Danio rerio: one gene and its partner. The protein of the gene in region 1 binds, or shares a complex with, the protein of each later gene. Links are inferred from orthologs where the notes say so. Each region holds a gene or a part of one and is shown on either strand. Other genes may lie near its edges. The genes, in order: mbtd1 and morf4l1.

Region 1 (4,298 bases):
CAGGTTGCTGCATGAGAGGGAGGAGGAAAAAAAAAGCATATTTACACCACTGAACATATTTATTCTCAACAACAAACCAGTAAACAAGTAAACAGGGCACCAAATACAATTTCTCATTAGAAACAATACTGTACCGTTTCTTTTCATAACATTGCTTGTGTCAGGTTTAAAATTAGGGATGTGCAATATGACAATATATGGACTAAATCAAACGTTTATCGTTTCATATTATTCTCTATCTTTTATTTCACGGTGGCACTACAGTAATACTTATAATTCATTTGACCGCAATTTTACACTGCATTATGTGGAAGCAGACATAAACATGAATAAAAGCATCATGAAAAAGTTGCAATATTGAAAGTGCAACGTCTACATTTTGCAATATTTTATGTTAGGCCTGCATTCATCTTATTTTTCATTAATTTTCATTTTATATTACTTCATTCCTAAAAAATTTGCCCTGAAGTTCTGAAAAAAATTAAAGATATGATCACATATAAATAAGAATGAATTACATTTTAACAGAGTATATCCCTTAAAATGTAAAGAAAAAAGACATTTCCTTTCTATTTAGTGAATGTTTATTAGGGATGCACCGATAATATTTTTGGCCGATATCCATAACTGTTGAGATTTGGAGGCTGATAACCGATATATTAAAGCCGATAAATATAAATATTTCAAAATTTGATATTTTTATACAGTGAACAGCTGATTTTGTTTTTAAAAACTTAATAAAAGTTTGAACTGATATTTGAATAGCCTACTTAAAGCAATAAAAGCAATAATTTCAAAATTGTAGGTGATTATATAGACCTATATTTATGATTTCACATAAATTAGCATGCCAAAAATAAATGATTTCCTTTTCTTTGCATAGCAAATTAACATGCAACTTGACTGTTGCATAAAAATAATAGGTTAAATAACAAAACAAGATTTAATTAACAAACAAGTTAAATAAATAGTAAAACGAAAATGAAAGAACACAGAACTGAAAACAGCGCAAATGTTCTTGAATAAACCGTGGTTTAGTAATGTACATATGTAGAACTATGCAATGTCCAAAAAAGCATTTTGTGAGGTGTTTTGACAGTTCAGAGCAACAGTACAAGCAAAAAGATAATACAGATAGACAGTATGTTTTACTTTAGAAAAATCGGCATAAATTCATCCTATTTGGCGTTTTAGATTCTTTTGAACATATAGACGCTTCTTGTCAGACGCTTTTATGATCATTTTTGCTGTCAATAAAAAATGTGAGGAAAGCTTCATTATAGTGCACTGGACAGTTTTGACCCACGCATTCTCGAGGCAGGCAGTTCTGTACAATTACGTAATCTATCAGCTTAAAGATATATGCCTAATTTTGATATTGGATCGATAATAATAACATTAAAAATAGCATTTAACGCCCTATAACAATATGGCCACCGATATATCGTGCATTCCTAAATGTAGATAAACTATTAATTAATTGAATTTAGAAAAAAGATGTATATATCTTGCCATATATCTTTAAGAATATGTGATGACTTTTATCATGATATAGGATTGTCATATCGCCCAGCCATAATTTAAATAATATTTAGGTATGTTTTTTGACTTTTGTATCCACATGACTAACCCATTCCTGCTTTCCCGTCAGGATAGGTGTACACCTGGCCATTGTTTTTGATGATAGGCAAACTGGCAGGGATGCTGGGAACTTCATCTTCACTGTCCTCCGAGCTGGAGCTGCTACTGCTGTCTTCACTGCAGCTGTCATACCCGTCAAACATCCCGAACGAATCTCTCCTCTTCCGCTCTGAGCGGGGAGTGTGCTCAGCCTACATGTGACGAGGTGAGACAAAAAAAATGGAGAATATTAAAAAGAGAGAGAGAGAAGGAAGGAGTAATGTTAAATTAAAGTAAGGGCAAAGAAAGACAAAAGGATTACAGCTCTCTTGCACAACCATAATACTTTAATAAATGACCACCTTTGACATGATACACCATGATTAATATTGTAACTAGTAATAACCACAATCTTTAAAAGAGGGAATTAGGAGGCGGCTCAAATCACATTATTAAAATTAAAGGCTTCCAAGGGTCACAAGAAGCAAATATCATGTACAAAGCACTAAAGATTCTACACAATTATCTCAAGCCAGAATATAAAAGGCGCATATATATATATATATATATATATATATATATATAATTTAAATTTGCTGCATTTTGAGAAATTACATATTTATATTCATCAATACTTCAACACTAGACTGTAGAAGGACTCCAATACACTGTGACCTGATTTCAGAATGAACATTTTGGGACCTTTTCTTCCCCTGAAAGAGTACCATTTCAATTCTCATCTCCTAACATTCAATTTTACCACAAATTAATGCTGTTATTATCCCTATTAACTACAAGTGAATGATTTTAGGTCATATTACAAGCCCTCACAACACAAACAGGCACATACGCTTATCTTAAGCCCTAGTAAGATGCCTGCTCGTACATAACAGCTCGTGAAAACGTTTTAACGCATATGCGAGCCTCGTAAAAACTGTGTGTTGGGAAACAAACACAAACATTTCCACATTCATTGGCCTGCGGGTCTATTGCAGCAGCACAAAACATATACATTACCAACTGTATTAGCACCATTTAATAAGACAGCTTATTTGAATGAAATGTTATATGGCATAGAAAGAATTACGAGTGATTCGAATGAGGTAAACGCTGTAGTTTGTGTGACGAGCAGGATCTGTTTCTGACAACCAAAACAAAGAGGACGGCTAACTGCTAAGCCGCTAACTGAGCTAAATCAAGGAAGCGGGCTCAAATAAACTCTTTCTTACCATATCCCTTGGGTTTTCCATTAGCCCTTCATGCAAGTCGGTATCTTACGTTTGTTGTGGTATGATCCGACAGCCCCCCGGAGGGAAAGGGCCTGGCTTGAAATTATTTTACTCTATAGCAAAAAATAACTCCAGTTGATTATCAACAATTGTCATGGCTCGAGAGTGCGCGTGCGCAGGGATCTACAATGATTGACATATGTTTTAGCCAATCACCGTTCACGTGTTCGGCACATTTACCCCATATTTGGTCACAGGAAATGTTTGAGTGAGGGAGAATGATTACAGATCAAATAAAATCGGATTTAGTGGTGGGAATAGCAGATTTATTGACCCTAACATTAAAATAGAATGTTTACGGTCATAGCTTAAAGGCAATATAATTTAACAGGTTGTAACAATGGTAGCGACGATAAATGTAAACAGATATTTGTTACAGAAATGCTAAGATTCCTGTAGGATGTAAAATTCATGGTATTGCTTTCTTCTACCAGAAACGTACATTATCTGTCTCTGAAATATAAATATAAACATAAATACAGTGGATAAAAGTATTTCATCCCACAAATGTCTAAAATGGACTGATGGTTGATTTCTGTGAGTTGTTCTGTAAATGAATGTCATTCTTGTCAGATTATTTTTCTTTATTAAAAACACTTTACAAATGTACAAACCCTGTCATTGTCCTTGTACTCAGCTCAATTTAACCTACAGCTTTAACAGTTTTGTTATGCTAAAAACTGTTATTTAAAAGTTTAAGCTGTGATCATTCACATCAATTGATTAAAAAAAACATGAAATTATAAATTCTACAAATACATACTACAAATATTATGAATCAAAGAAATGTACAATTGTCCCCATGTTTCTGTCAGTCCAGTCACATCTGCATCAACATAAAATTCCTTTAAGGCTATGACATCGAAAGTGACATCATCTGATGGAGGAGAAGCTGAGTGCGATCAAGGATGCGTTCCATCATTGAATTCTTATGATTTTATACTTGTTTTGTATGATTTTTTTGAGGGCGACAAGCTTGACAAGCCCAGTCACATTTTTATAAGTGGATTTTTCTAAGCATGATAGTTTTATTAACTCATTTTATTTTATCTTTGCCATAATGACAGTAAATAATATTTTGCTTGATGTTTTTCAGGACACTTCTAAGTGACATTTAAAGGCTTAACTAGGTTAATAAGGTGAACTAGGCAGGTTACGGTAATTAGGCAAGTTACTGTATAATGATGGTTTGTTCTGTACACTATTGAGAAAAAAAATTAGCTTAAAGGGGCTTATAATTTTGTCCCAAAAATGGAAAATAAGACTTTTTCCAGAAGAAAAAATATTATCAGACATAGTGTGAAAATTTCCTTGCTCTGTTAAACATCATTTGGAAAATATTTAAAAAAGAAAAAAAATCAAAAGGGGGCTAATAATTCTGACTTCAAC
Region 2 (4,626 bases), on another chromosome or scaffold:
TTTGTTAAACAGAGCAAGGAAATTTTCACAGTATGTCTGATACTATTTTTTCTTCTGGAGAAAGTCTTACTTGTTTTATTTCGGCTAGAATAAAAGCAGTTTTAGATTTTTTTAAAACAGTTTTAAGGTCAAAATTATTAGCTCCTTTAAGCTATATTTTTTCAATAGTCTACAGACCATTATTATACAATAACTTGCCTAATTACCCTAACCTGTCTAGTTAACCTAATTAACCTAGTTAAGCCTTTAAATGCCACTTTAAGCTGTATAGAAGTGTCTTGAAAAATATCTAGTCAAATATTATTTACTGTCATCATGGCAAAGATAAAATAAATCAGTTATTAGAAATGAGTTATTAAAACTATTATGTTAAGAAGTGTGTTAAAAAAAACATACTCCATTAAACAGAAATTGGGGAAAAAAATAAACAGGGGGGCTAATAATTCTGACTTCAACTGATATTCCAAAACTTTTTATTTAGTCCATTCTTTTTAACATAATATTGTATTATCATGTAGACAACATACAGAAAGTATAAATATATCCTCTAGTAAATATTATAACAAATAAATAAGTCTAAAATATTCAGATGCATCAAAATAAACTTTTGCTACCAGCAAACTATGTTTATATATTAAACTATATACTTTACTACATCTGTCTTATATACACCTCTGAGCTAGCTAACTTAAACTGACTTCATCACTGCTCTTATCAAATGTCCAATCTGCATTATTCTCATTGTCACCATCTCATCCTCACGTTCATCTGTGGGAAGAGCCAGTTGTGTCCTTTTCTTCTTTCACTAACTATAGAACATTGTGGTCCTCACTAATACACTGTTCCTTGTATTTATATCTAATCAAATGCACTGCCATTAAAATTAGATTTAACCATAAAGCAAATGCCATTAACATACAACTAATCAACGTTATATTACTAGCATTCATGTTGTTATTGTTACAACTTTAAAGACCACAGCTGAGCTGACCTAGCTAGCTAATCTATCGCAATATCGCACATTCCTCTATTGTACAGCATTTCCATTTGCTAGCACATACATTTGATCGACTTACAAAATGCTAATTTGATCAAAATCTTTTTGAGTTGTGAATATGTCATCATAACTTATTGGATGTGATGTCTCAGATTTTGTTTGTGGATCTGGCATGGGTTGATGCTTTGATTTTATTGACTTTTTCATTTGCTTTCAGCAACTATTCAAAATAAACGCCAGTCTAACAGAAACCAAGCCACAGAAAAACACTGCACGTCATGTGACTTAACCGAAGCACATCATTGGCTACACTAAGGTCTTCTCTTTCCAATAACCACAAAAAAACAAAAAAAACAAACAGAACGTTGGTCTTAAAGAAACACTGGCAGAAGAAGAAGAACAGTGGCACTGGCAAAAATTAACGGTATTATGTTGCCATATGGCAACACCATGGGGTAGAGGGCTAACTATACAAAAACAAATCCCTTTACTTGACACAGAAAACAATACCAAAGCATTAATATGATAAACAAAACCACTACAAACACATGACTACATTTACACTATAAATGTAATGCCATTCAGGTACTGCTTTCAGGAAAACAAATATCAAAAAGCCTTTTGAAGCATGCATAATGGCATGAATGATTCAGGTACCTTAGCTTCGTATAGCAATGGCCCATGAAAGCACAGCACTCGTTCACCTGAAAAAACATCAGAAATATTAATATACAATGACATCCACTAATGGGCTAATAAATAAAATAGAAGTGTTACATATTCAAATATGTGTGTGGGCACAGAATATTGTACTTTCAGAAAATGCCACAACAAAGAAATGTTTTAAATGTATAGTAGATTTATAACAGTCTGCAGTATATTTACCATATTGTTTGTTTGAATCATAATTAAGCTCATTATAACCAAAATATAATTAGCATTTTCAATACACAATACTTAAACAAACGAGAAATACGCACATTTAAAACCTGCTTATATAGTCAAACAATACATCAAATCTGACTGTTTACTTGACATATGCGTTTACTTACAATCACCAACAATATTAACTCATATTAGAGTCCCAGTTCAGGAATCAGATTCAGAATAGAACACTGTTCTAAAGATTCGATTCTATAGAACGATTCATTCAGTTATCAAAAATTGCTAATGGTCATTTTAATGCAATAATATAGCCTTTCTTTGCTCATTATCGACTTCAGTTTTAGAACAGCTCCGAGCTAACGTCGTTGTTTTTACGCTTCAAATAAGTAAATGACTGTTCCCGCCAGGACTTCAATACTGCAATGGCCGCTTCCTGTAAACAAGGCCTGCTGTATGCTAACGGCTACATCATAGACAACAGCTAATGTTTTGTTTCAGGAACACGCCGCTGTGTGCGTCTGCAGAGGCTGTCAGATGCAACGAAAAGCACCAACGTGCGATCATGCACTCGCTTGACAGGTGATGAACAACTCTGCACAAGTTAAAGGCGGCAACTCTCAGCTAAAAAGTGTTTTGTAACAGACAGCTCGCCGTGCGCGCGCGCCATTGTGCAGCGGCAGCGCCCGCTTCCTTTGCACGGCAGAATGAGAGGATCCCCGATCGACGGGTGACTCTCGTGGATGAAACAAAGCGCATCTTACCTTCTTGAAATTTAGGTTTAGGGTCCTGTTTAGGCGCCATTCACAGATTAAACAATAAAAATAGCTGGAAAATCAAATCCAGGCATTGCCAGCTCCGATTTAATTCACGCAGGGTGAAGGCGCCGCGCTGCGTTCCTATGACGCACTTTACTGGCGCCCTTGTCAGGTGACTCTCATAATAAACAGCGTTTATCCAGCAGCCCCTGTTGACGAATGACAGAAGTTGTGCTCTACTCACGGCAATACATGTAAATAAGTGCATTTATGCAGATATATTTCAACGTTACGCCACGCCTCTTCTATAATTTATGTTTTTATTTCTTGTTAAAATTTAAAGGGGTAGCTGCACCAAAAACAAAACAATTGAGGTTATGCAAGGTGTACACGACTTTTGTTTATATATATATATATATATATATATATATATATATATATATATATATATATATATATATATATATATATATACATATATATATATATATATATATATATATATATATATATATATATACATATATATACATACATACATACATACATACATACCATACACACAGTTCTCAGCATAAATAAGTACACCCCTCACAAATCTATCTTTTAAATTCATATTTTTAATAGGAATCTATACTATATTAGTCAGTACTGAAGCAAATCTGGAGCCTATCTAACAAAATAACTTACGATAACAGTCCAAAAATAAGTACAGCCAAATTTATGTTATAGAAAAAAATATTAAATGCAAATTTAAGAAAAGAGAAAAATAAATAAATAATATTTTTTTTATAGGTTGTAAGTTTTTTTGGGGCCATATTTTGCTTGAATTTAATTGTATTATCTTTAAAAAAATTTATGTTTGGTGACTAAAATATTATTTCATTAAATAAATTTGTTTAATAAATTTGTTTCGTTTAAATGCACCACAATACATTGCCTATATTCACTGACAATTGGATACACATATGTGTGTACTTAATTATGCTCAGCACTACACACACACACACACACACACACACACACACACACACACACACACACACACACACACACACACACACACACACACACACACACACACACACACACACACTTTTAAGTCAGAATTATTACACCGGCCCCTCCGGTGTAATATCTTTTTATTATAAAAAGATATTATCTTTTTATAATATTTCTAAATTATGTTTAACAGAGCACAGTATGTCTGATTATATTTTTTCTTCTGGAGAAAGTCTTATTTGTTTTATTTCGGCTAGAATAAAAGCAGTTTAAAATTTATTATGTATCATTTTAGGGTCAAACCTATATTAGCTCCTTTAAGCAAAATTTTTCAGACTGTGTACAGAACAAACCATCGATATACAACAACTTGCCTAATTACCCTAACATGTATAGTAAACCTAGTTAAGCCTTTAAATGAGCTAAGCTGTATAGAAGTCTCTTGAAAATTATCTAGTTAAATATTATTTGTCACCATGGCAAAGATAAAATAAATCAGTTATTAGAAATAAGTTATTAAACTATTATGCTTAGAAATTTGTTAAAAAACAATCTTCTCTCTATTAAATGGAAAGAGAATTACAATCAAACCTGAAAACATTAACCAGAAACAAAAGTGCAACACATCAAGGTTTCCTTCATTTGTTCGTTTGTTCAATCATTGATTTCAGTGTGCCACTCCAAGGGTGGCCCCAGACATCCAATATTACAGGTGGAGTGGCGTACCATCCATCCCACATATAAGACAGAATTTTTAACTAATCAGCCACTATTCTTAATTGAAGCTTGATACATTGCTATTGAGTGTTCAGCAGTTTCTTGACAATATAAACCTCAAGAGGAAATTTAAACGTTTTTTTTCCTTGTGACAATTATATTCTTTGTATACCATTTGATGCAGGATTTATCCCATTGCGCATAGTAATTATATGAAATTATAGTCAGAATTATTTATTATATCAATATTTATTTAGAGGTCAACCTTAT

Evidence for each region.
Region 2: mbtd1 (region 1) and morf4l1 share a complex: the UniProt entries of both Homo sapiens proteins name them as parts of the nuA4 histone acetyltransferase complex. The link is inferred for Danio rerio from reciprocal best matches to the Homo sapiens genes MBTD1 and MORF4L1.

The regions. Positions count from the first base shown.
Region 1 is NC_133187.1:35,466,024-35,470,321, forward strand, and holds the start of mbtd1 (MBT domain-containing protein 1), read right to left. Parts: upstream 3,017-4,298; 5' UTR 2,871-3,016; coding exon 2,850-2,870; intron 1,833-2,849; coding exon 1,631-1,832; intron 8-1,630; coding exon 1-7. UniProt on the Homo sapiens protein: Chromatin reader component of the NuA4 histone acetyltransferase complex, a multiprotein complex involved in transcriptional activation of select genes principally by acetylation of nucleosomal histones H4 and H2A.
Region 2 is NC_133193.1:21,420,428-21,425,053, reverse strand, and holds the start of morf4l1 (mortality factor 4-like protein 1), read right to left. Parts: upstream 2,867-4,626; 5' UTR 2,684-2,866; coding exon 2,644-2,683; intron 2,571-2,643; exon of another isoform or gene 2,050-2,570; intron 1,702-2,049; coding exon 1,655-1,701; intron 1-1,654. UniProt on the Homo sapiens protein: Component of the NuA4 histone acetyltransferase (HAT) complex which is involved in transcriptional activation of select genes principally by acetylation of nucleosomal histones H4 and H2A.